3 linked regions of the Lepisosteus oculatus genome follow. The protein of the gene in region 1 interacts with the protein of each later gene in a biochemical or structural test. Links are inferred from orthologs where the notes say so. Each region holds a gene or a part of one and is shown in the gene's direction. Other genes may lie near its edges.

The links.
Region 2: of the proteins of DNA topoisomerase 1 (region 1) and toporsa, one has a biochemical effect on the other in vitro, tested with the Homo sapiens proteins (2 studies listed by BioGRID). The link is inferred for Lepisosteus oculatus from reciprocal best matches to the Homo sapiens genes TOP1 and TOPORS.
Region 3: the proteins of DNA topoisomerase 1 (region 1) and nkx3-1 form a complex in vitro, tested with the Homo sapiens proteins (2 studies listed by BioGRID and IntAct). The link is inferred for Lepisosteus oculatus from reciprocal best matches to the Homo sapiens genes TOP1 and NKX3-1.

What each region holds. Positions count from the first base shown.
Region 1 is NC_090711.1:6,856,899-6,864,048, reverse strand, and holds the start of DNA topoisomerase 1, read left to right. Parts: upstream 1-4,044; 5' UTR 4,045-4,297; coding exon 4,298-4,330; intron 4,331-4,645; coding exon 4,646-4,670; intron 4,671-7,150. UniProt on the Homo sapiens protein: Releases the supercoiling and torsional tension of DNA introduced during the DNA replication and transcription by transiently cleaving and rejoining one strand of the DNA duplex.
Region 2 is NC_090696.1:72,086,930-72,094,710, forward strand, and holds the start of toporsa (topoisomerase I binding, arginine/serine-rich a), read left to right. Parts: upstream 1-4,695; 5' UTR 4,696-4,730; coding exon 4,731-4,787; intron 4,788-6,668; coding exon 6,669-7,781. Other genes in the region: ndufb6 (NADH dehydrogenase [ubiquinone] 1 beta subcomplex subunit 6), read left to right, coding at 835-927, 1,128-1,172, 1,455-1,526. UniProt on the Homo sapiens protein: Functions as an E3 ubiquitin-protein ligase and as an E3 SUMO1-protein ligase. Probable tumor suppressor involved in cell growth, cell proliferation and apoptosis that regulates p53/TP53 stability through ubiquitin-dependent degradation.
Region 3 is NC_090697.1:72,162,872-72,169,394, forward strand, and holds nkx3-1 (homeobox protein Nkx-3.1), read left to right. Parts: upstream 1-4,412; 5' UTR 4,413-4,504; coding exon 4,505-4,796; intron 4,797-5,388; coding exon 5,389-5,822; 3' UTR 5,823-5,948; downstream 5,949-6,523.

The sequences.
Region 1 (7,150 bases):
GCCTGAATTTTTGTTTTTGTGCATAAAGTAAGAATTGCTCTTTGCAAAACAATTAGAGATTTTTCTTTTGATGGGAAAAAAAAGTCAAAAATATAATAGAGTAATATTTACAGGCAACAGGAGCTAGAGGTCCATAAGCCATGTGTGCAGCAATGCGTAATGTCCTGATGTTGTTTGGTTATTGGATGATGGATTTATTTAAGGTGTGCATGTAGTGTTTTATTATAGGCATAAAATGATCCATTTTATACATTTTTCAAGGAAGAGTGAGACACGTCACTGACTAATGATTCAGCTGGAAAAAAGAACCAAAGCGTTCAATGAAAAAACAGCCGTGTGGTGAAATTAAAAAAGCAATGCTTTTTCATTCATGCAAAGAAAAACTTTGCGGAGTGTGCACCTTGAATGTGGTCGAGATTCATTTATTTTACTGGCACACAATTCACATCTGGCATGTTGGAAGATGAACTCTGGCCAGTGTCCACCTGGATTCTGCAGGCTAATGTATTTTGATATGACTCTGCAGTGCTGCCATGCCAGAAGCCCAGATTCAGAGTTTATAGATTTCTTTTAGTGATGTTTTAAAGTCCTTTCAGGCCATAAATGGTTTTTAAATACATACACAGGCAGATATGAATGTTAACACCCATTTATCTTAAGCCAATTCTGTAGAACATCTTGGATACCACTTCTTTGGGTAAAAGGGCATTTGTTACATCTAATAAATCAATGAAAAGCTTTGTTTAGATAAATGCATGCTGTCAATCTGCACATGTGACAGTTTGCAAATGTGTATGCCTGCATTGCATGTCTCCAAGAGGACATCAAAAAGTGCATCTGGGAATTACTCACCTTGTAATTTGTAGTATAGGCCTTTTTCGCATACACACTCATCTGCTACCACTTCACGCAAGCTTAATGCCCTTGTTGGTTGGTTCCCGAGCCATTCCTGCTGCACCAGTAGAATGTCAAAGAGCTGACGCCTTAGGGCTTCCTCCTTTGGACCAAACTGGACTGAAAGGAACAGCTTAAAACGAGCTCTTCAATACACTGCACCTCTCACTGTATGCTTTTCACCTCCAGCAGTTGCCTTTTTTCACTGCAAAGCAACTATGCACTGGAAGAAGCACTCTGAACTCCTGTGTATATATATCTAACACTGTACATATGAATGCACACACACATACGTTTCCTTGGCTATATACACTGTAATAGAAGGTTAAAATCTAGAGGTATCAAACCAAAAGCTGCAGTTGCAAATTTCTCAAAATGTTAATTTAGTTATTAGAATAGTGTATGAAAGTATCTTTGTTGGAAAACAAATTGCAATTTTTGTTAATGCTTTTGATGACTTTTTAAACTCTTATATTCTTATTCTTCAATTTTGCTTATAAACACTATAGACAGGTTTCGGAGAGAATATTTGTGAATTTCACCGTGTCCCATATGGGATTTGAACCCACAAGGTATTGTAAGATGGGCTTTTTAGATTTGTGTTTGTTTTCTGCCTAATGACACTAATAAACTCCAAATGTTTAAAAAAATAACATTGTAGATGATCATCTTTCGCATCACAAAATAAGGATAAACCTATCGATAAACATTTGTTTACTGTGAATTATAATAGATGATTACATCTACTGGGGAGCACTCCTCACTCCCAGGTCCAGTTTGTGCATTGCGTTTGAGAATGCAAGCTGTGACATGCAAGCTGTTTGCTGGTATATGCTCAGTTGGTGCTGAGATTATTCCATTATTCCTGGGTGTGCCACTGACTGATGGTGTATTCTGTTTTTTAAGAACTTTTAACAGCTTCCAGCTTCTCTTTGGACCTCATTTATCTTAGTCTCACTGTCAATCAGATATCTTGCATTGCTTACGTTCTGAGATAAATTAATTCACTTGCTTAATTATAAAGGGGAGCATGAAGGCGCATTGGTTAGCATTCTGCCTTGCAGCACAGAGCCACTGGGTTGCTGTATGAAGATTGTGTGTTCTCCTCGCGTTGATCTGGGTTTCCTCCAGGTGCTCCTGTTTCCACCCGGAGTATGAAGACATACTGACAGGTTAACGGACTTCTGGGAAAACTGACCCGGGTGTGAGTGTGTGTTCCTGTCTGTGTTTGTCCTGCGATGGTGTGTCCCATCTTGAAAATGAAAGGATGGAAGGATGGGCGAAGGGCTGTTTGATAAGAGTTCATCACTTTGTTGCTTTCTCTGTTTTTTTTTCTATCTGATCCACTGCTTTGGAATGCCATCGCACAAGTAGATCAGAGTGAAGAAGGGAGAACCTGATGATTATCTGAACCATTTCAACCGAACCGGTTTATGAATTCACAAAGATCGCCACTAAGATCTGCAGGCAAAGTGTTTGCATGTGTACATGACAATTAATATATTAAATATTAGAAAGAAAAGAAGAAAGCTTGCTGGGATATGGTCTGGCTCCTCCTCTACCCTGTATTGTAGTATTTAAATGATGGATGGAATAAAAGAAAAAATTGAATGTTGTTATTACATTTTTTTTTCCAGATGTCAGGGTGTTAATTTTCAAACTGTGATCTTTTATGTGTCCAGTTGACTGTTACAGGAGTCACGAGAGTACATAAAATTCACAATTATAGATCATCCCAGAATAAACCATGAATGACTTCACTTGAACTTCTCATTTTACACTGGGCAACACGAGGCTTACCACAAGTTGTTATTCAAAGTGTAGATAAAATAAACACCTTTAATTATATGCTATTTTTATAAAGTTTTGTCTGTCCTTGACAGGTTAACCTGTCAAATCTGACATGGAATGTGCAACATTCATGATTTCCTTGATCTTTTACTCTCAAAAGTGGCCTGGTGTTCTGTCTTGAAACTACTGGAAGGCATGTTATATCTTGTATTTATACTGTCTTTTTCTTGCTGCTAATGTCACCTGTGTTTGTCATAGTAAAACCAAGTCCTATTGTTGTGATAGCAGTGAATCTCTAATGTGCAACTGTGTTTTGACAACAATTAGAGAGGAAGGCAATATTGTTGTGTCAGTGGAATTTCAGGTTTAAAAAAGGAACTGTGTTTTTGAGAAATTCTGAAAAACATGACCTCAATCATTACAGCCCAGGTGACTTGCAACAGCAGAAAGGAAGCTATGATGTAACACTGTGGCTTCTGTTTATCATGGTATCTGGTTTTAATTTCAGAAGCTCTTGCATGCTCACTTTATTCAGGGGCAAAAGAACAGAGCCTTTATTTATCTCTCAAGTACGGGATTTTACATCTTATGAAGAGTAAACAGAGCCTGTATTTGATAATATGGCCTTTGCTGGCATTCAATGTTATTTGGCTCATGCAGCTTTGATTATGCACCCATGATGAGAACTAGAAACAAGGAAACAGAAAAGCATCAGAGCTACTGGAAACCTACCTTGAAATCACATCAGAACAGTATTGCTCCACCAAATCGATTCAACCGGATACAAACACTCTTCACAATTAGGGACACAATGCCAAGCATAGTGATGGGGAAACTACTGCAAAAAGGCATCGGATGAGACGTAAAAAAACCGAGGTCCTGACTCTCTGCGGTCATTAAAAATCCCAGGTAGTTTCTCGAAAAGAGTAGGGGTGTACCCTGGCAGAGTATAACCCTTCAAACTCTTTAAAAACAAGCGTGCTATGACTAATGTACATGTCTCTCTAACATGCCTTTGTTAGAAAATAATCCAGAGTAAGTTATTTGTACTATTGTCTAAAGAAAATCAGTTTGGCAACTGCAACGAAAAGGATATTTCAATCAACACAGTGACACGCGGGAAAAAAAAAAACAACAACAACTGGTCGGTCTTAACAACTCCCGTTTTTAATAATAGCGAAACTCGGTACAATATCTACCAACGTGACGCGCAGCTCCTGCCGTGCGCTCGCTTTTGTGACGTGGGGGTTACATCGCTGGTGAAACCCCACGAGTCGTTTCCTAGGTGCGTCCACGTGTGTGTATTTCTTGGAGCTGGCGCAGGGGCACGGCACATTCACACATCGGCCGCGGAGATCTTCATTGCCACATGGCTAGCGGCTCCCCACGCTCGCACTAGCAGTGCTGGTGTGTGCACGCAAAATGGGGAGGAGCCAGTAGGCCGAGACGCATTTTTTTTTACCCATTTAAACGAGCTGAGCATGCGCAGTGAATAAAAAGTGGGACTTAGTCTGTTACACAACTGTTTCTTTCTCCATTCTGCTTACTGCTCCTCGCCGGCAATTGCTCTCAAGACATTTCATACTTTAATTTTAAAATAAGGAACCAGGAAATGAGTGGGGATCAAGTTCACAACGACTCCCAGGTAACGTTACATGAAATATGTTGTGTCATGATCAGTAGACCTCGGCTTTGACAGATAAGGTTTAAATCGTAACCTTAAGCTGTAATATAGTGAAAATTGATGGTAGAAAATTGAACAAAATTGCTTCGTGTCCGCGATCAGAGAGTACGTTGGTTTTAGGAGGTGTTGGTGGTTAACTAATAACTTTATAAGAAGTTTAAAGCCATTTTTGTGCTAGAACAATCTATGAAAAGCCATTTTCGCATAACCTTAGTTGAAACTTACTGTACATATATTTTTAATAATAGCTTGACATCTATAAATATTTTTTTTCAGATCGACACGGGATCTCGAGTTAATGGTAAGTATTGTGTCCCCACCAAATGTTATGTAATTATACTTGCTCATTTTCTATATTTTACTCCCGTTAGTGATGAGCCTGTATTCTGTAGTTAGTTTTTTAAGGACAGAAATGGCGTCCCAGAGACTAAGTCCCTTCTCCTTTACTCTCAAGCTCCTATTGTTCAAATGGAGGGCTTATAAACCACACTTAAAATGCTCCGTTTTTCCAGATGAACCCGGATTCTGATAGGGATGGATATTGTTTTTCCCAAAATGTCCCCCGATTGCTTCTGGAAGGGGCTTATAAGGGCGTATTTTGGTGCCGAAAGTTGGGGTTTGGGGGTTGAGGACTTAGTCTCTGCGCCATTTTCTTTTTCTGTGCTTAGTCTCTCAGTGCCGAGAACACAAAGTGCAGATCGCCGTGATATGGAGGTATGGGGATCTTCTTAGGAACGGTTTGTAGGAATGAACGCGTCTTTTTTTTTCCTTTTTCTTTATCACAGTGCAATATGAGGGGTATTTAATTACATTTATTTTCAGTTTTTATTTTTTTAAGAATGTGATCTTTAAATTGTCCGCCGTTATTAGAATATCACACCGGTTTGTGGCATAATGTTTAAAATATTTTTTTTAGACAGACCCTTGGCAATGTTTGGGGTTCAAACGTTAATGCCAGAGGGGTAGTTTAAAAGTGCACAGTTATATTTTACTATCATTAATGAAGGATGTTTTCCTTAATTGAACCCTCGTAATTTTTGAATACCACCATTAGCTGTTGAATTATAAACTTTCAAACTTATTATGAAAAAAGGTAACCGGAGAAAATAGTACAGTGAACTTTATTTTGGCTGCATTTTGAAGAATACTGCCTTGAATTGGGTTTCTAAGAAAACAGCATAGTTTTGTGAATTTAACAGTGTTACCCATTGTGTCATTTTAACCAAAAGGATGCTGGGGTTTTGAAGGTGGTAAGGATTTGTGCAAAACCTCATTTGGTGAAATATGCTTTTGAACTTCAGGTTTGACCAGGAGGCTAAGATATAAATTGAATTATTTTGTTTTATTAAAATATGTTTCCAACGTCTTCCACCTCCAGACTTTTGAACCTCCCTGTAGAGGTGACCTATGCTGTCAGAGACAACTTTTTAGTTTTAAAATCAAAGTGTGTTGGATTGCACAAAATGTGTGTTTACTGGGCACCTATGTAAAAAGGAAACATCGTTGTCATCTGCATTCCTTTTTTAAAAAAACTTTGTACAGCCTGGAGATCCCGGGTTTTCCAGAAATTATAAAACTGTTCAGTGTAATTTTAATTACCCTTTAATGAAAGTTAGGGCTAATAAAGAGTAGCTGAATTTCAAAATGTAAATGGAAGATTCTGTTGTACTGTTTATTTTATTTTTTGCTTAAACTTATCCATTTGATTTTTGTCTTTTTAGTTGTCTTTCAGCTTACTTAACCTGCTTGCTTACATTCTATGAGACTAGTTTGTCGTCGGTGATGAGCAGCACTTTCTCCACAAGTCGCATTTAAGAAATGTTTTTGTGTCGGGGGTTAAAGGGAGTGTATTATTGTATGGAAAGCAGGTATCGTTTTTTTTTTTCATTTCAACCCTCACTTCAGCGACCGTTTGGGACCGAGGATGAAACTTCAGTTCAGTATATAGTCTTGCTTGTTTGAGAAGTACTTCTCTGTTTTCCTTGGAGAAGGCCGTCTTTCCATTTTAAACATTTTGAAATGTGGCCGACGGCACACTGGTTAGAGAATAATCTTGTCTTTATGTTGCACTTTAGTTGCCACACGGTTCTGTTTACAGTGCATGTTAAAAATTAATTTGCTGAAAAATCGCTCGCAATCAATCACGTAAAATGTTCTTAAAGTCGACAAAAGGCGACTTCGGTTTTTCTTTCTCCCCCCTCTATGGAAGACTGTTCCAGGCATCCTATCTCTGGAGTTGTGAATGTGTTGCATGGGCGGTAGCAGTGTTAGCATAGTTAGCTAAACCTGGTTTACCCCAACCACCACCACCACCGAGGCCCTGAATGACTGAAAAGTGTTACAGTTATCTACGCTATATACAAAAAATCCAACTTCTTATTCCTAAAATGAAATTAACTGAAAGAAATTGCTGGTGGGCCTTGGAGTTGTGGTTGTGTGAGTGAATGCAATGTCGCTGTTGAGAAAGCATGTTGTGATTGTTTGGAGGTGACTCTTTTTTGTTTTGTTTTTTTCCACACTGCAATCATTCTCCTATCCTGAAGTATACGCGTGCAGTGTTAATAGAGGTAGGCCAGTGACTGCGTTCTTTCCTGTCTCGCACAGAAATCTGCAGACCAGAGGTGCAGCACTATTCAAACCAGAGCTTACACTGGGCTGTTTTAAAGTTTCCCTGGGCTCTAGTGTGTGAGATTGAAGGCAGGCACATGCTGAGCCTCATGTGTGATCCTAGTAATTCAAAACCTTGTTCTTGGAGCAGCTCACATTGGAAGCTCACAGTAT
Region 2 (7,781 bases), on another chromosome or scaffold:
GTGCCTGTGGCTGGAAGGTTGCTGGTTCGTATCCCGCAGCCGGCAGAGGGATCCTACTCTGTTGGGCCCCTGAGCAAGGCCCTTAACCCCAACTGCTCCAGGGGTGACGTATAAGTGTCTGACCGTGTGCTCTGACCCCAAGCTTCTCTCCCTGTCTGTGTGTCTCATGGAGAGCAAGTTGGGGTATGCGAAAAGACAAATTCCTAATACAAGAACTTGTATATGGCCAATAAAGTGATCTTATCTTACCTGCTGTAATTAATGGTCTGTGGAGAAAATTGTCAGTGACTACCAAGTACTTGGGAGTGGACTTGCAGATAAAAACCTAAGACTGGACAAATGTGACACCATTTAGAAAAAGACCAACAGAGACTCTTTTTTTTCCTTCTGAAACTCACCTATTTCTAGAACAATTTTAAGAACTATAAATATTTTTAGAAATATTTTAACACTTTTATTGAAAGTGTCTTATCACACTGTCTCAGTTGTTGGTTTGGCAGCATTAGTGTCATTAAATGAATTGAGTTGGGGGAAAATTAGTGAAAATAAGTAGCAAAATAATTGTGAAAAATCAAATAAGATATCCTCTACAAACAAAAAGTTGTACAGAAGGCCAAGAGCATTATGAGGTGTGTGTCTCACCCCCTCCATTCTGAATTTAAACTTGTCACATCTGGGAGATGCCTCTGTGTCCCCGGGTGTAAAAGGAATCTCAAGTATTGACTGTCTTCCTTATTCTTATTGTTGTACTGCGGTGTGTCATAACATAATTTTCCCCAGAGGATAATAATAAGCTTGAATTGAACTATTTTTAACACAAGCCTTTCTTTTCAGACTTATAAAGCCTACCGGGTTGGAAAATGGTCCTTAACTCAGCTGATAATTCCTGCTTGGATTTGTCATTATTATGTCAAGTATCATGTTGCGGTAAGTTTGGGATGTACTAAATACAAATATAAATTGCCATCACAATTGGCAGATGAGTAGCAGCACAAAGCCATTTTTCTTTTAGAATATATTATAGTATGTAACTATGTATTGGCTACCTGTGTATTTCATTTTAATACAGCTTTGCATGCAGTTATGGATTCTAATGATCTGTTCTTCATTTGTTCTCTTTATTCTAGATGAAACCATATGGTATTGTAGAAGCAAAACCAAGGCTGTTCCCTGTAAGTGTTATTTACCTTGTCTAGTATCCCATGTCTTATGTAGCGCTTAATAGTGTTTGAATACTGAAAATCTGCATATGGAAGACTAATCCGTTGTGCCTTCACTTTCATCTCCAAATTCATTGACAAACATTTGTGTGAACTAGGATGTCAGCCAAATAAGGTTCATAAGGAAATTAATGCTGAAGGCAATTCAGCATGTTGAAGTTAGTTATTCTGGAGGAAGCAGGTATGAAAGTGTTGAGCAATCCCGTGTGATTCGTATTGCTTGATTTATTTTAGGGGGACACAATCATGGAAACTGGAGAGGTCCTTCCTCCCTTCCCGGAAATGGAAAGCTTTGGACACCACTGAACAAGTTCCTAAAAGACAGAAAAAGCCACGTGTACTTTTCTGAGGTTAAAAGGATTTTATTTAACAATAAAACTAATTTACAAATGCCACCTTCATTTTATTTGTCCATTTTCTGTTTTGTGCCATGTACAGTTGATCTGTTTGAGTTGAAATCCTACAACAGAAGGGGCAGCAAATCCTAACCTTAACAGATCGTGTGGCGGACAAACATCAGAAATACAGAGATTGTACTTCTCTCACCTCAGTTTATTTACCTAAGGATTTTAATTTTCATAAATGTTAATTCAGGGTATTTTCAATGCCTACTTAGAAGTTACACAAACTGCATGATCAGTCTTGAGCCTTTACAGTGTCAATTACTCCCAGCAGTTAGGTTAGGATATAAAGTATAGGATTGTCTTATCTAAACAGCCATTACGATACTTTTCCCAAATTAAGTACTAAAACCCTTTATCACTGCCTGAATAATAAATTGTTAAAACTTTAAAGCTACTCTTCAGCTTTCTCTCTTTTAGCTTTGGTCTTAATTGCCTATTTAATGGGGTATCTTGATGGCTGGGTAAGGTCTTGAAAAAAGTATGAAAGTCCCAATTGATTGTCCTGCAATGAAGTAGAGAAGGCATATTTTTAACACGCATAAAGATCACAAAGTTCTAAATAATCTTTGTTAAACCAGAAGATTGAAATGCTATGACACTATATGGATTCTTTTTAAACCACAATGAAGCATATTAAGAACATTCTGTGTTGATCTTCAGTGGTGCACAAGTACTTCGAGCTGCAAATACTTTGGATCCCAGAGGGACATCGTGGATATAGCTATCGTTTAGGAGGATTTTGCTGGTCTACAGAGATGTGCATGGAGTACTGACATACAGAAAACATCATGGATTAATACCCTCATTCATTTCCTTTTTTTTTACTATATAATGTTAGCATGCCCTAAGGGGTTGGGCAGCCAGTTGACCTTGGACACCTAGAGGTTTTTTTTCTTCTTACTAAGGAGTTTTTGGTTCCTCTCCTCTGTTGTCTTCTGTTCTGTATTCACAAAATGTATGGTTACTTGCATTAAGTGCCTTGTTGTGAAAGGTGCTATACAGACATAAATTGAATTGAATACAGTTCATTCCATCTCGCAGAAAGTTTATTTATCCATAAGGTTCATCTTCCTTTTGCAGGTTGGTCTGGGTGGTACATTTAACCCCCTCCGTCCACACGCCTCAGTTCCTCAGGGACTTCAGTTATTGATCTTGAATTGCTTTTCCAGCTGCCACTGTGCTGCTATTCTCGTTCCATATATGACGTATCCCCAGGACAGGAGTACCACTGCCAAGAGTACCTTAGAAATAAAACCATTAAACTTCAACATAAGTCTTTTAATGAATTTGTATGAAAATGCTTGCTGTATAAATCACACTGAAAATTAAATCTCTTGCCCCCTGAATAATCACTAATAAGAGTTGAATGCTTTTTCCATAATTTGAAAACAAAAATACTGGAAACTATGAACAATAACAGTTGCCATAACCGGCTTTTAAAATTTGTTTTTTTTTTACAATATTACAAATAGTATTTAAAATATAAATTTATGTCTGAACAGCAAAATCTGCACACAGTTTTGCCGGAACTTGATTTGAACCTCAGACTAATTTGTTGAGAATCGTAAAACTAATAAATGGCTCAGAACGGACTTTCTGAAGATACTGAACACTGAAATACATCCATCCGTTTTACTAAATTTTAAGGCTTGAGTTCCCCCCCAATAGTTGGTTTTAAGCCACTTAAAGTAGGAAACATAAAAAATATATATTGGAATGAGTTGTGCATTAGGGTAAGACGCTTACAGTTTGAATTTATAACAACACGGGGAGTTTGAATGCTCAGAGTTCACATACAGGGGCAAAAAACAACATCGCAGCAGAACTGATCAACTCCCTGCACCCCGTCCTTTTTAAATGGTGCAATTTTACAGAAGCGAACCTAAAAACTATATTCTCGGTTTCATTACGTACATTATGAAGGACAGGTTTGTCGGTCACTTACGAGTGAGTACATCCTGTCGAGAGCTCTGCGGCTGACATAAATCATGTTGTCTCACATCAGGAACACCTTGTACCCGCCTGGCACCTCCGGACAGCTTCTGTCTAATAAATTTTCACCAGTAGCAACAGCCTTTGTCTAAAAAAACGACACCATCAACACGCTGCGGGTTAGTCCGAGTAAACACCGCCTTGCATTGCGGAAAGCCAACTGATTTCCAAAGAGACTTCACCCACAGCGCCACCGGGCGTCAGCTATTTTAATGCCCAAATCTTATTTTTTTTACATATGAATCCGCAAATGCAAGATTTAGCCAATTATTTAGCTCGTTGAAGCTACGAACATTATTCACTGTCGATATTAAATATTTGGAATACGCAAATAAAACCACTTGTGAACAATATTCAAAGGGTAGGATAATGCCTTAAGTTGAGATTCATTCATCAAACCCTTTATGTTGTTCTAATTAGTTTAGTAATAAACAGTCAGCATGACTGTAAGTAAACAAAACAGGTCGCACTGTCACTAACATGATTTGTTTTACTTCCACATTTTTTTCCGCTTATGCTCTCCGTATAGATGTAGACTCCGCCGCTTTTCCCCGCGGGAGACGTCAGTGCAATCGTACACTGTGTCTTAAGAGTAACTCCTGAGAGAGAAATCATATTGTCACCCATACTTCTGTGTGTATGAATTAGTGTTCTCATATTGTCGCTGCTGACGAATAAGCAGTTGAAAGCGACTCAAAACTGCGCGGTCACGGGTGGGTGACCCCACCAGAGGCCCTGTACGCGTTGGCTCCTCCGGGCCGCCAGGGGGCAGGAGCGCCACGGCCTCCCCTTCGCTAACCGAGCCCTCCCTCCCCGTCTCGCAGCGCAGGCCTAAAACTGCAGGCTCGCTGTGGGGAGAAATTGTTGTATCCATAACACGGATATCGGCGATTTTTTGTCATCTTGGTAGGTGAGAATGACGTTTAACTTTGAAGTCTGTCCTACATGACGTTTGATTGTGATGTCTGTGACGGGTGACCGTTTCCTCTGACGCACCGTGCCCGCGAAAGACCGGCGCAGTGGCATAAAAAAAGCAAAACTTAAAAGAGCCACTCAGCTGCTCTTGGTAGGTAAGAAAGCTTTTGCTCTGCCTATTCTTTCTTGTATATCTTTCATGTCGTTTGCTAGTTCAGTTTTAAGGAACTATGGTGGGCTAACGAGTTGTGTATTGGTACGTATTGGTTATCTAGTTCCTAGGCGGGGTTAAGACTACGAGATGCTATTTCGGGAAATAACCCAGTCACTTAGGCCTCTACAATGCGAAAGGAAGGGTTATTATGGTTATTATGTACCAACAATATTTCAGTAGATATTTAGTATTTCAGTAGATATTTAGCCAATGTGTGCATAATGGTATCTGCCATGTTTAACCAGGTCGGGGGAGAAGTGGCAGTCTAATCAAAATGTCTTCCAGTACTTGTTCCCAGGTCTTTCCGGGGGTGCAGATAGGAAAATGACAATCGATAGTTTTTAGTTGCGTGTGGTTCCTAGATTTCAACACGGAATCACGTTTGTGGACGGCGACGCCTGCACTGTGTTGGTTATCGAGAGTCAGCCGGAATGTCACTGTGTCAGTGTCAGTTCCGCTGGCTCAATGTCCAGCCTGCTTTCGCTGTAATACTAGTTTTTAAGGAATAATACAGGCAGCCTGCTCAAAGTTCACAGTACTGTATTTATTTTTAGCTGTGTTAATTGTATTTTAGCATATTTTCTGGCACACATACAGTACATGTACCCATAAACATACTGTACAGTTGTGTAGTTTATTTTACAATGGGAGGCTTTATGCCTGTAGGGTTTGATGAACGTTTGTCGTTTTGGTGAAATATATCGTTACGGTCTAGTAAAAAAAAAAATTAGCACTTATTCAATTTTGCCAAAGTATTTATTGAACGGCATATATAGAATGCTTAAAATATTAACAGGTTTGTTCAAGTCGTCGTATCGTTTATATAACCGAGATAAGCTAGGTTCGTAAGAGAAGGAGACATGGCGAAATTTCAGTGACGTCTGGATACGTCAGACTGTCTATATTTCTGCATTTACTGTAAAAAAATGGAGCAGAAATGCCAAAACGATTTGCATGCTCATCCAAAACAAGTACATTTGTTTTGAGGAGTTACATAAAGTAAATCTAATGATTTCGGTAATACACAACTGCAAAAAATACACTTTTTGGCACACAGAGCTGTTTTAAGTAGTAGTGTCTTTTGCCGTTCTTGTCTGTGAGCCTCAGTCACTGGGACAGTTTCAGCAGCATCAGGTGCCACACTAGGATATCTTTTCCAGTGGCATATAATACAGAAGTTATGTTATCCAAGACGATAGCCTCATTATTTATAGTTGAATTCTTGTCAGACTGTATAATACTTAGTTTTGTGCAAAGTAAAATGTCTAAGGAGGCCTATTTAATTAAATGTTTTGGTCACACTAACCCGATATTTGAGGTGTGAAAGGTATTCATACTTTTCAGATGCTTAATCTGTGAGATAGCGTGAACTAGAACATAAGAAATGTGTTCAAACAAATCAGATGTCATTCAACCGATCTTTCTTCTTTGGTTTCTAATAGCTTAATGAACTAAATGTACTTGGACTCTGAGGCATTCATGATTGTTTATTGGAACGAACTTCTTAATTAAGTAGGAACAGAACTTTTCTTTTTAATTAAAAAGACTCATTATTATTGAATACAACAAAGTTGTGGCATTGTTCTTCAATTTGCAGGGTTTCAAGATCTTTTTTCCTTGATTTGTAAGCCTTTTGGCTGACTGCTAAAAGCTGAGACATCTACAAATGCACTGATATGTGGATGCATTGTTGATGTCCCTTTTATTTCTAAACACCTATATTTCAATCTAGTATTTAAGGAATGATTTCACTCCAGCTAATACCTGTTTTAATTATTATTGCACTTTATGATGATTTTTTGTGGTTTGAAATTCTCTGTTATTTTTAAGATATTGAAAAAAGACTGCACAACACTGGGGTATATTATAGTGTTGAAATATACTTTATAAATTGTAACACGCTTTTGTTTTTTTATTTTTGAGGTGATGGCATCTACCAAGAAGAAGTTGAGGATGCGCAAGAAGTTTTCCCCCAAAGATGGAGCCAGCAAAGTGTCACAGACTGTATTGGTGGAAGCATCTCCAGACTCCAAATGCCCCATTTGCCTGGACAAATTCAACAACATGGCACACTTGGACCGCTGCCTTCACAAGTTCTGCTTCCGGTGCATACATGAGTGGTCCAAAAACAAAGCAGAGTGCCCGCTATGCAAGCAGCCTTTCAACTCCATCTTCCACACCGTAAAAGCCGAGGACGACTTCAAGGAATTCGTCCTGCGCCCGACGGAAAACGGCTCTTTTGGCAGCCCAGACGGGCATCGGTTCAGGTACCGCACCACCTTGACAAGAGAGCGCAGGCAGTTCAATCCCCCGAGGAGGACATCGCCACCCCCAGACAATGGGGTGATGTTTGAAAGCCTGAGCAGTGCATCCGCGCAGCAGCACAACAGAGGAATTCACCGCATGATGCTGAGGCTGGCTGCAAGGAGGAGAGCCCAGATTGAGGGAAGGTCTGTGCGTCACATGCGGGAACAAGAGATCATCAACTTCAGGCGGGCTCTGTATCGCACTGGCGTGCGGGTAAGGAGTGTCCGAGATGGGGGGCGCTATCGGGACATCTCTGCTGAATTCTTCCAGAGGAACCCAGCTTGTCTACACCGTCTCGTGCCCTGGCTGAAAAGGGAGCTGACTGTGCTTTACGGTGCTCATGGCTCTCTGGTGAACATTGTGCAACACATCATCATGTCCCGCATCACTAGATACAACATGGAAGACCAAGCCATCCAGGATGAGCTGCGGCCCTTCTTGCTGACTCGCACTGACCACTTCCTACATGAGTTTATCAGCTTTGCACGGTCCCCTTACAATATGGATGCCTATGACCAGCATGCCATTTATGACTGCCCTGCACCGTCTTATGAAGAAGGCAGCAGCTCGGACTCATCAGTCATTACCATTTCGGCCGATGAAGCTGATTCTGGAGAGCGGAATCGCCCTTCCCTCAGCGTGGCAGGCAGTGGCTTGAGCCAAGCGCCGTGGGACGATGAAACTCCTGGCCCATCTTACTCAACAGTAGAACAGGTACAGCTGCCCTCA
Region 3 (6,523 bases), on another chromosome or scaffold:
AGAACCCAGGGTGAGGGTGCTCTGACACTCAGGGCACATCTGAAAATACTACAGCTATCCCGTTGCACAATAAATCTTTCACAGCTGTTTACCAGCCAAACAGATAAGAGTCCCAGGAGCTGTATCCAGAGCTGTGTTGAGTTGTTATCTGGGAGATAGTCTTATCTTACAACTGTCCTGTACAAGCCAGCATTGAATACATTTCATTCATTCCTACTGAACACACAGGGTAGGAGGGAGGAGGGTTGCATAATTCCTTTTTCTTCAACCAAAAATATCAGTTCTTTTTACTTACATGGCATTCAGAAGAAGTTAATTTTTAGCGCGATACACACTGCACTAAGAAGCATCTACATTGACTTCGTTAATATTCAATGTTGGTGTTGGGTGGTATCTTGTACAGAAAACAGCAAATCACTTGATTAAAAAAAAAGAATTGCATGACACATAGGACTGTTCTGTGAAACAAAACTTCCTGGGTGACCTAAAGGGTATGACTCTGTGTTTATTAAGGTACCATAACCAGATACATAGACAGGACTTGTGGTTAATACATCATCAAGAAATACCCAAACAGATAAAAATCAAAATAGCAATGCCATAAGATTATGATGATGATGATAATTAAACTGGTTCAGGTTCTAACCAGACATTGTTAGTAGTTTGGAAATATTTAGAAACATCTTGAAAAACAAATAAACTACTCACTTTAACCCTGACCCAGAAAAATTCTTCATTCTCCGCCCTGTAAAAGTAAACAACAACTATGCTACACAAATAATGCCACAGATACAATATCAGGCTAGTAAAAACAAGAAATCCCAATCTGACACATTCTGGGTCTAACTTTGACTGAGTTGTACATTTTTACTTTGTGATGATGATGATAGCCGAGCTATTTATGAGGGATGTATAACAGATGGGGTGACATTAACACACCACAGTTTCCTTCTCCGAGCCAGTTTCAACTGTTTTCAGAGGCCTTCTGTTGACGACACAAAGCTGTAGGTCACATCATTAAGTGGTAAAGATCTTTATGAATTAATATATCTGATGCCTTTAAGCAAAGCAGCTTGAAGAGGTTACAATCACCATATTTTCTCAAATGATGGTTCAGATTAAACCAGGTGGGTTTGCTTTAAATACCTTGCTAGGAGGCATAGCATCAGCTGGATTTGAACTCACAACCCTCTGGTCTGGAGTCCTCTGGCTCACCCTCCAAAAAACATCCATGCCTATGTTTCTATATTATTATTGTTGTTGTTGTTCCATTGCCTTTTTTTCCCCCACAAAGTGAAATTTTTGAATGATCTGCAAAACCATATGAAATCCTTACTGAAATGTCTCTTGACATATTTTGAATTTTGGAGAAATTTCTCCCGCTGTAGCTGGGTAATCTGGTGTATGAGGACAGAACCAACACTGTAAAAATATATCAGAATGCAAAACCAGAAAAAAAAAACTGTGTGCTTCCACAATATATGTACCATACACCACTGACCTCAGAGCAACTAGGGGACTCTGCACCAGAGACCACATAATGTAAATTAAAAGAGGATAAACTTTTATTAAAGATGGACTAGAAATAACTGCAGAAAGTAATTCTAGCTCAACATTAATGATATATGTTTTTAGGTTATGTTTGTATATATTTGAAATAGTTATGCTGGAAATCTTTTGGTAAAGCATTTATCAGCATTTTGTAAAATAATGAAATAGATGGATGGTTCTGAAATGACTCTGGACTGGACCCAAATACAGTGTAGCAGTATTCAGAATCAAATAGCCCTTATATGCTGCTCCGCACAGGAGCTTGCACTTGAATGTTGCCAGTTGGCACCATACCAAAAATTATTTCAGCACATTTTGTTTTTTTATGAGCATCAATACTCTTTAATAACAGCATCCTCAGCTCCACTTGAAGTGAAAACTAAGGCTACAGAAATGCATCACAACTCTGGAACTGCTCATCATGATGCAACTTGAAATGAGCACTACAGCTAAAAAAAATAAAAAAAATAAATGGCACTAACGAGAAAGAACGATGTTGTATCAGCCATAGGAACCAGTGTTTTTCAGTAATCTGTTTACTGGGATGAACAATGAATTAAACCCTCACCAGGACCTTGAGGCGTTATCTTATCTCATGTTTATAACCTCAGAAACTACTGTTATTTTGCTAGTTACATCTAAGTGTAGGTTAATTAATGCTCAAAGACAAAACACACAACAGACTTACCCACCTTCCTGCAGTTCACTGCTTTGCTCTTGTTAAAAATGTCTTTGTTCTTATTAAATTAAATTGGTTGTGGTGTATCAGTCATTAACATCCAATTATACACAACCTATGGTCAACATGTAAACTGGAGACAATCTGTTATTTGGTATTAAATGATATGTCAAATGTAACAGAGTAAGCCTACAGTCCATTGTCTACAGAACGGCTTCCCAGCTCCAGTCCTGGAGAAACACTGTCTTCTGAATTCCATTCCAGCTGAGCTCTATATCTCCAGCGCTAATTGGTGATTTAATTGGGCTGTTCAGGTTAATTGGGCTTGTTTATACTTTTTTTCAACATATTGCCTTGGTCAGTACTGAATGTAAAAAATAACCTACTTCGTGGATTTCGGTTTCTAAATATGTCAGTGCACAAACGTTCCTCATCCACTCCGTCACCACATCGGCCATTGCTTCTCATGAAAACCGCTCCTGCCTCCTGATCAGCGGAGGAAGAACAGCCGCAGGTGGGAATGACACAGTAGAAGACACGCCCACGATTTCTGCCTCCTCCAGAGGGCTAATATCTTACATTTCAGGCACCGTGCCCAAACGAGGGTGGTTCTGAAAACGGAAGTCAGAACTGGGTTGATACTAATTGAATTGCCAATTCAGTCGGTTTACAAAACTTACAAATATTTTCAAAATAGAAAGCTGAAATCAATTAACGTGTGGTTAAGCATAAATCCAACACAGTGGTCCTGCAGTCCTACAGACTCTTCAATCTGTGTACCTGTGTGTAGGTATTTAATAGCCTAACATTTCCTTATGACTTGTAACAAGTTATATACAGTATATAGCATTATATTTTAGAAGTAATAAGAACAAATATGGCACATGGTCTGATCTACTCAATCCTTTGTCATTATGCAGTGAAGCTGTAGAAAGCCATAATTTTAGTTTAGAAATATTTTGAATAAAATGCTCCAACACAAGGCATCAAAGGTAATACCAATTGCATTTCTGTAGACAGAGTGAAAGAAAAAACAGTTTTCCCACCAAAGCAAATTGATGCTTTTCAAGTAATGTAGTATTGTACTGTAGTCCTCACATAAAATTATTTTTCCAAATAATACTAATTGCCATTGATAAGCAAAAGTTTCGTATTGCTTTACTTTTCTGCTGCATTTAATCCGTCCTGTGCATGAAATTCCCGTTAATGTAAACGGTGATTTTTGTCAAATCTGAACATTTCAAACGCATATATTAACAGGCGTATTCAAAATACTTTTATTTTCCCCAAGCCTACCTGCCAGCGCAAATGGAAACCTGATTTAGAAATAATAATATTACAAATGGGGAAATTGTCTTCGTGTCGTTTAATTGTTCATGAACAAACTGTACAGGTGCAAGAATTATTAGTCGTTAAGTCGTTTAACGACTGATTGTGAGGCAGAACATGTCTAGTGCATACAATATGTTACAGTTTCACTACATAATTTTTAAAAAAATGCTGTCATTTTGAAATATTTCATGTTTCACGTATCCTAACATTTGCTACGGCTACGCGCATTCACTGTTAATCAGTGCAAATTTCTCTTTTTATTATTTGCGAAGTGCAGCTTAATATGGTTTAATTTCTGCGAGGATGCCCAGTTTGTTTTTTTAAATGCAGTGAGTGAAAAAAACGTAAAGATCACGATAAAACACTGAAATCCGTTAAAATATTTAAAAACGTAACGATTGCCCACAAACAATCATAAAAGTCCTATGTGTATTTTTTACCATAAAACTAAAATTCGTTCAAACATTTTAAAAACGTAACGATTGCCTACAATCATAAATATCCTATGCATATCTTACATACAGACCTAACATCCGTGAAAATCTTTTAAAAAACTTTATAGCGATTGTCTATAAATAATAATAAAGGTTCAATGCATATTTTCTACATATGAAACTCAATTAACATATGAAATTGAAAAGTACTGTAGATGTCATCACTGCGCAAGGATAGACTATCCGAAATAAAAACACCGTAGTGATTTATCAGGTAAAAAAAAGTGTGAACTGAGCAGATCTGTTTCTGTCATTAGCTCCGGCCCAGCCAATGATATTCTCCCTATGAGTCACCTTCCAATGAGAAGGAACGACAACGTCTGCGATTAGTCCTGTATAAATCGAGGAGGCGCAAAGGAAAGAGCTGCAGAACGGTTTTAAGATCCTATTGATCATAGAACAAAATCTGTTTCTTGCTGTGGGACCAAGCTGCTGTGTGGCTGACAGAATGTCTGCTTCTGTTAAACCGTTAACGTCGTTTCTTATTCAAGACATTTTGGCCTTTAAGGAAGAGTCACGCTTGAGCACCCCAAGGTACGCCTGTGCCAAAGAACCGAGGGAACGCGATAAAAGCCCCGACAGCATCTCGGCAGGTCGGGACACACGGTGCGCCACTGGCGAAAGGGCTTTTGCGTGTGCAGATTCCACAAACGAAGACATCCAGGAGTCTTTCAGCCATGCTCGTGAGACTGGCTCACACGACAAAAACACCTCGACGGACTTGAAGGCTGTGGGAAACGGTGAGGAAACTCCACAGTCTTCTGCAAACTTCCGAACGGAAGATCTAAACGGGTTACAAATTCATCTTCGTGGGGAAGGAAGGGGAAATAAGTTTTAAATCTCGGGTGATGGGAGAAGGATTTGCGCAGAACCATTCTAGACAGTTTGCATTACATTTCTAAAGGCGCAATTTGACGTTTTTATTGTAAAAGTTGTTGTGAATGCCAGGGTGTAAAATAATCGATAAACTAGAATATCGGTCCGTTGGGCTACCTGAAATCTGCGCTCTTACAATGTAGCTAGTAAACGACAGGAAACATCTGTTAAATCTAGTCAGTCCTGATCAATGACAGACATTTTTAAAAAATAACAATTTAAGGACTGTCATTATCCCATTAATTTCACTGTATGTTGTAATAACCTAAATGAAAACAAAAAAACAATGCATTATCATTACCCTTAAGTTATAACCTTAAATGGCCTTGGGATGATATAGCCTTTCATAAAAATAAAGTCTGTAATCTGTGTTGCCTTTCTTATAGGAAATCGAACATTGTTGGCATGATGTGTTGTAACCGAAAAACAGCTGAACAAATGATTTTGTCCCCGCAGACCGCAACGAAAGACCGCCTTGTGGCAGTTCCCCGGAGTGTGGCCGCGGCCGGTCCGCGGACAGTCGGAGCTCAGGCGGTAAGCAGAAGCGCTCCCGGGCGGCGTTCACGCACTTGCAGGTGCTGGAGCTGGAAAAGAAATTCAGCCACCAGAAGTACCTGTCGGCCCCGGAGAGGGCGCACCTGGCCCACAGCCTGCGGCTCACGGAGACACAGGTCAAAATCTGGTTTCAAAACAGGAGATACAAAACCAAACGGAAACAGCTGGCTACCGAATATGGCAAAGACCCCTTTAAAAGAGCCACTGGACTGCCTTGCTTGGGCACGGAGGAGGACTTGATAAGAGCGTCACTGTTCGCGACCATGTACAAGACTTACCACGATCAACAGCCCTGCCTTTATGGGCTAAACGTATGGAACTCTGCTGTGTGGTGAAAACCCGAAACGGGCCCTCAATAATTTATATTTTTTCAGTTATGCTGTTTTCTATATTATATATGTGATACAAAATAAAAACATGTAAATATTATTTCTTTTTTATAATAAACCTTTTTTCACCTATTGGTATATTGCTTATAGCTTTTCTCTTTTTGGACTTGGGGGGGCGAGGTTGGTTATGAAGTCGTTAAAGTAAATCTCATATAAATTAAGTATTCAAATTCTGCCCTGAAATACTAATTTTAGCACTCCTTTCCTCCTAACACGTATTCTGTTAAGAAATCCAAGCACACTTCTGTTTGCCTTTTGTTCTATTTAAATGACACACATTTTCCTTTAGCCTTTATGCTTAATACCAGTAAATTAAATGAGTAATAACATTCACATATGCCTAATATGTACACAACACCAACGATCATAATGCACTATTAAGAAAACCATAATTAGAAAAATGCATAATTAAACTTCACGCTACTGTACATATGCAGTATAGCAATATTATTCTTGTATGTTTTCCTGCTGTAAACACACATCAACTCTGATATGTGTTGAGAATATTGCTCAATATATATTATATAGTGACATTCATATAAGTCGTATTGCATTAATTTAAATCTTCTGACGTCAATCCTTTCATTCTGAAGACAGTATGTAACTATTCTACATCGATGTGTAATTTTGTATTAATTTTTATTTAT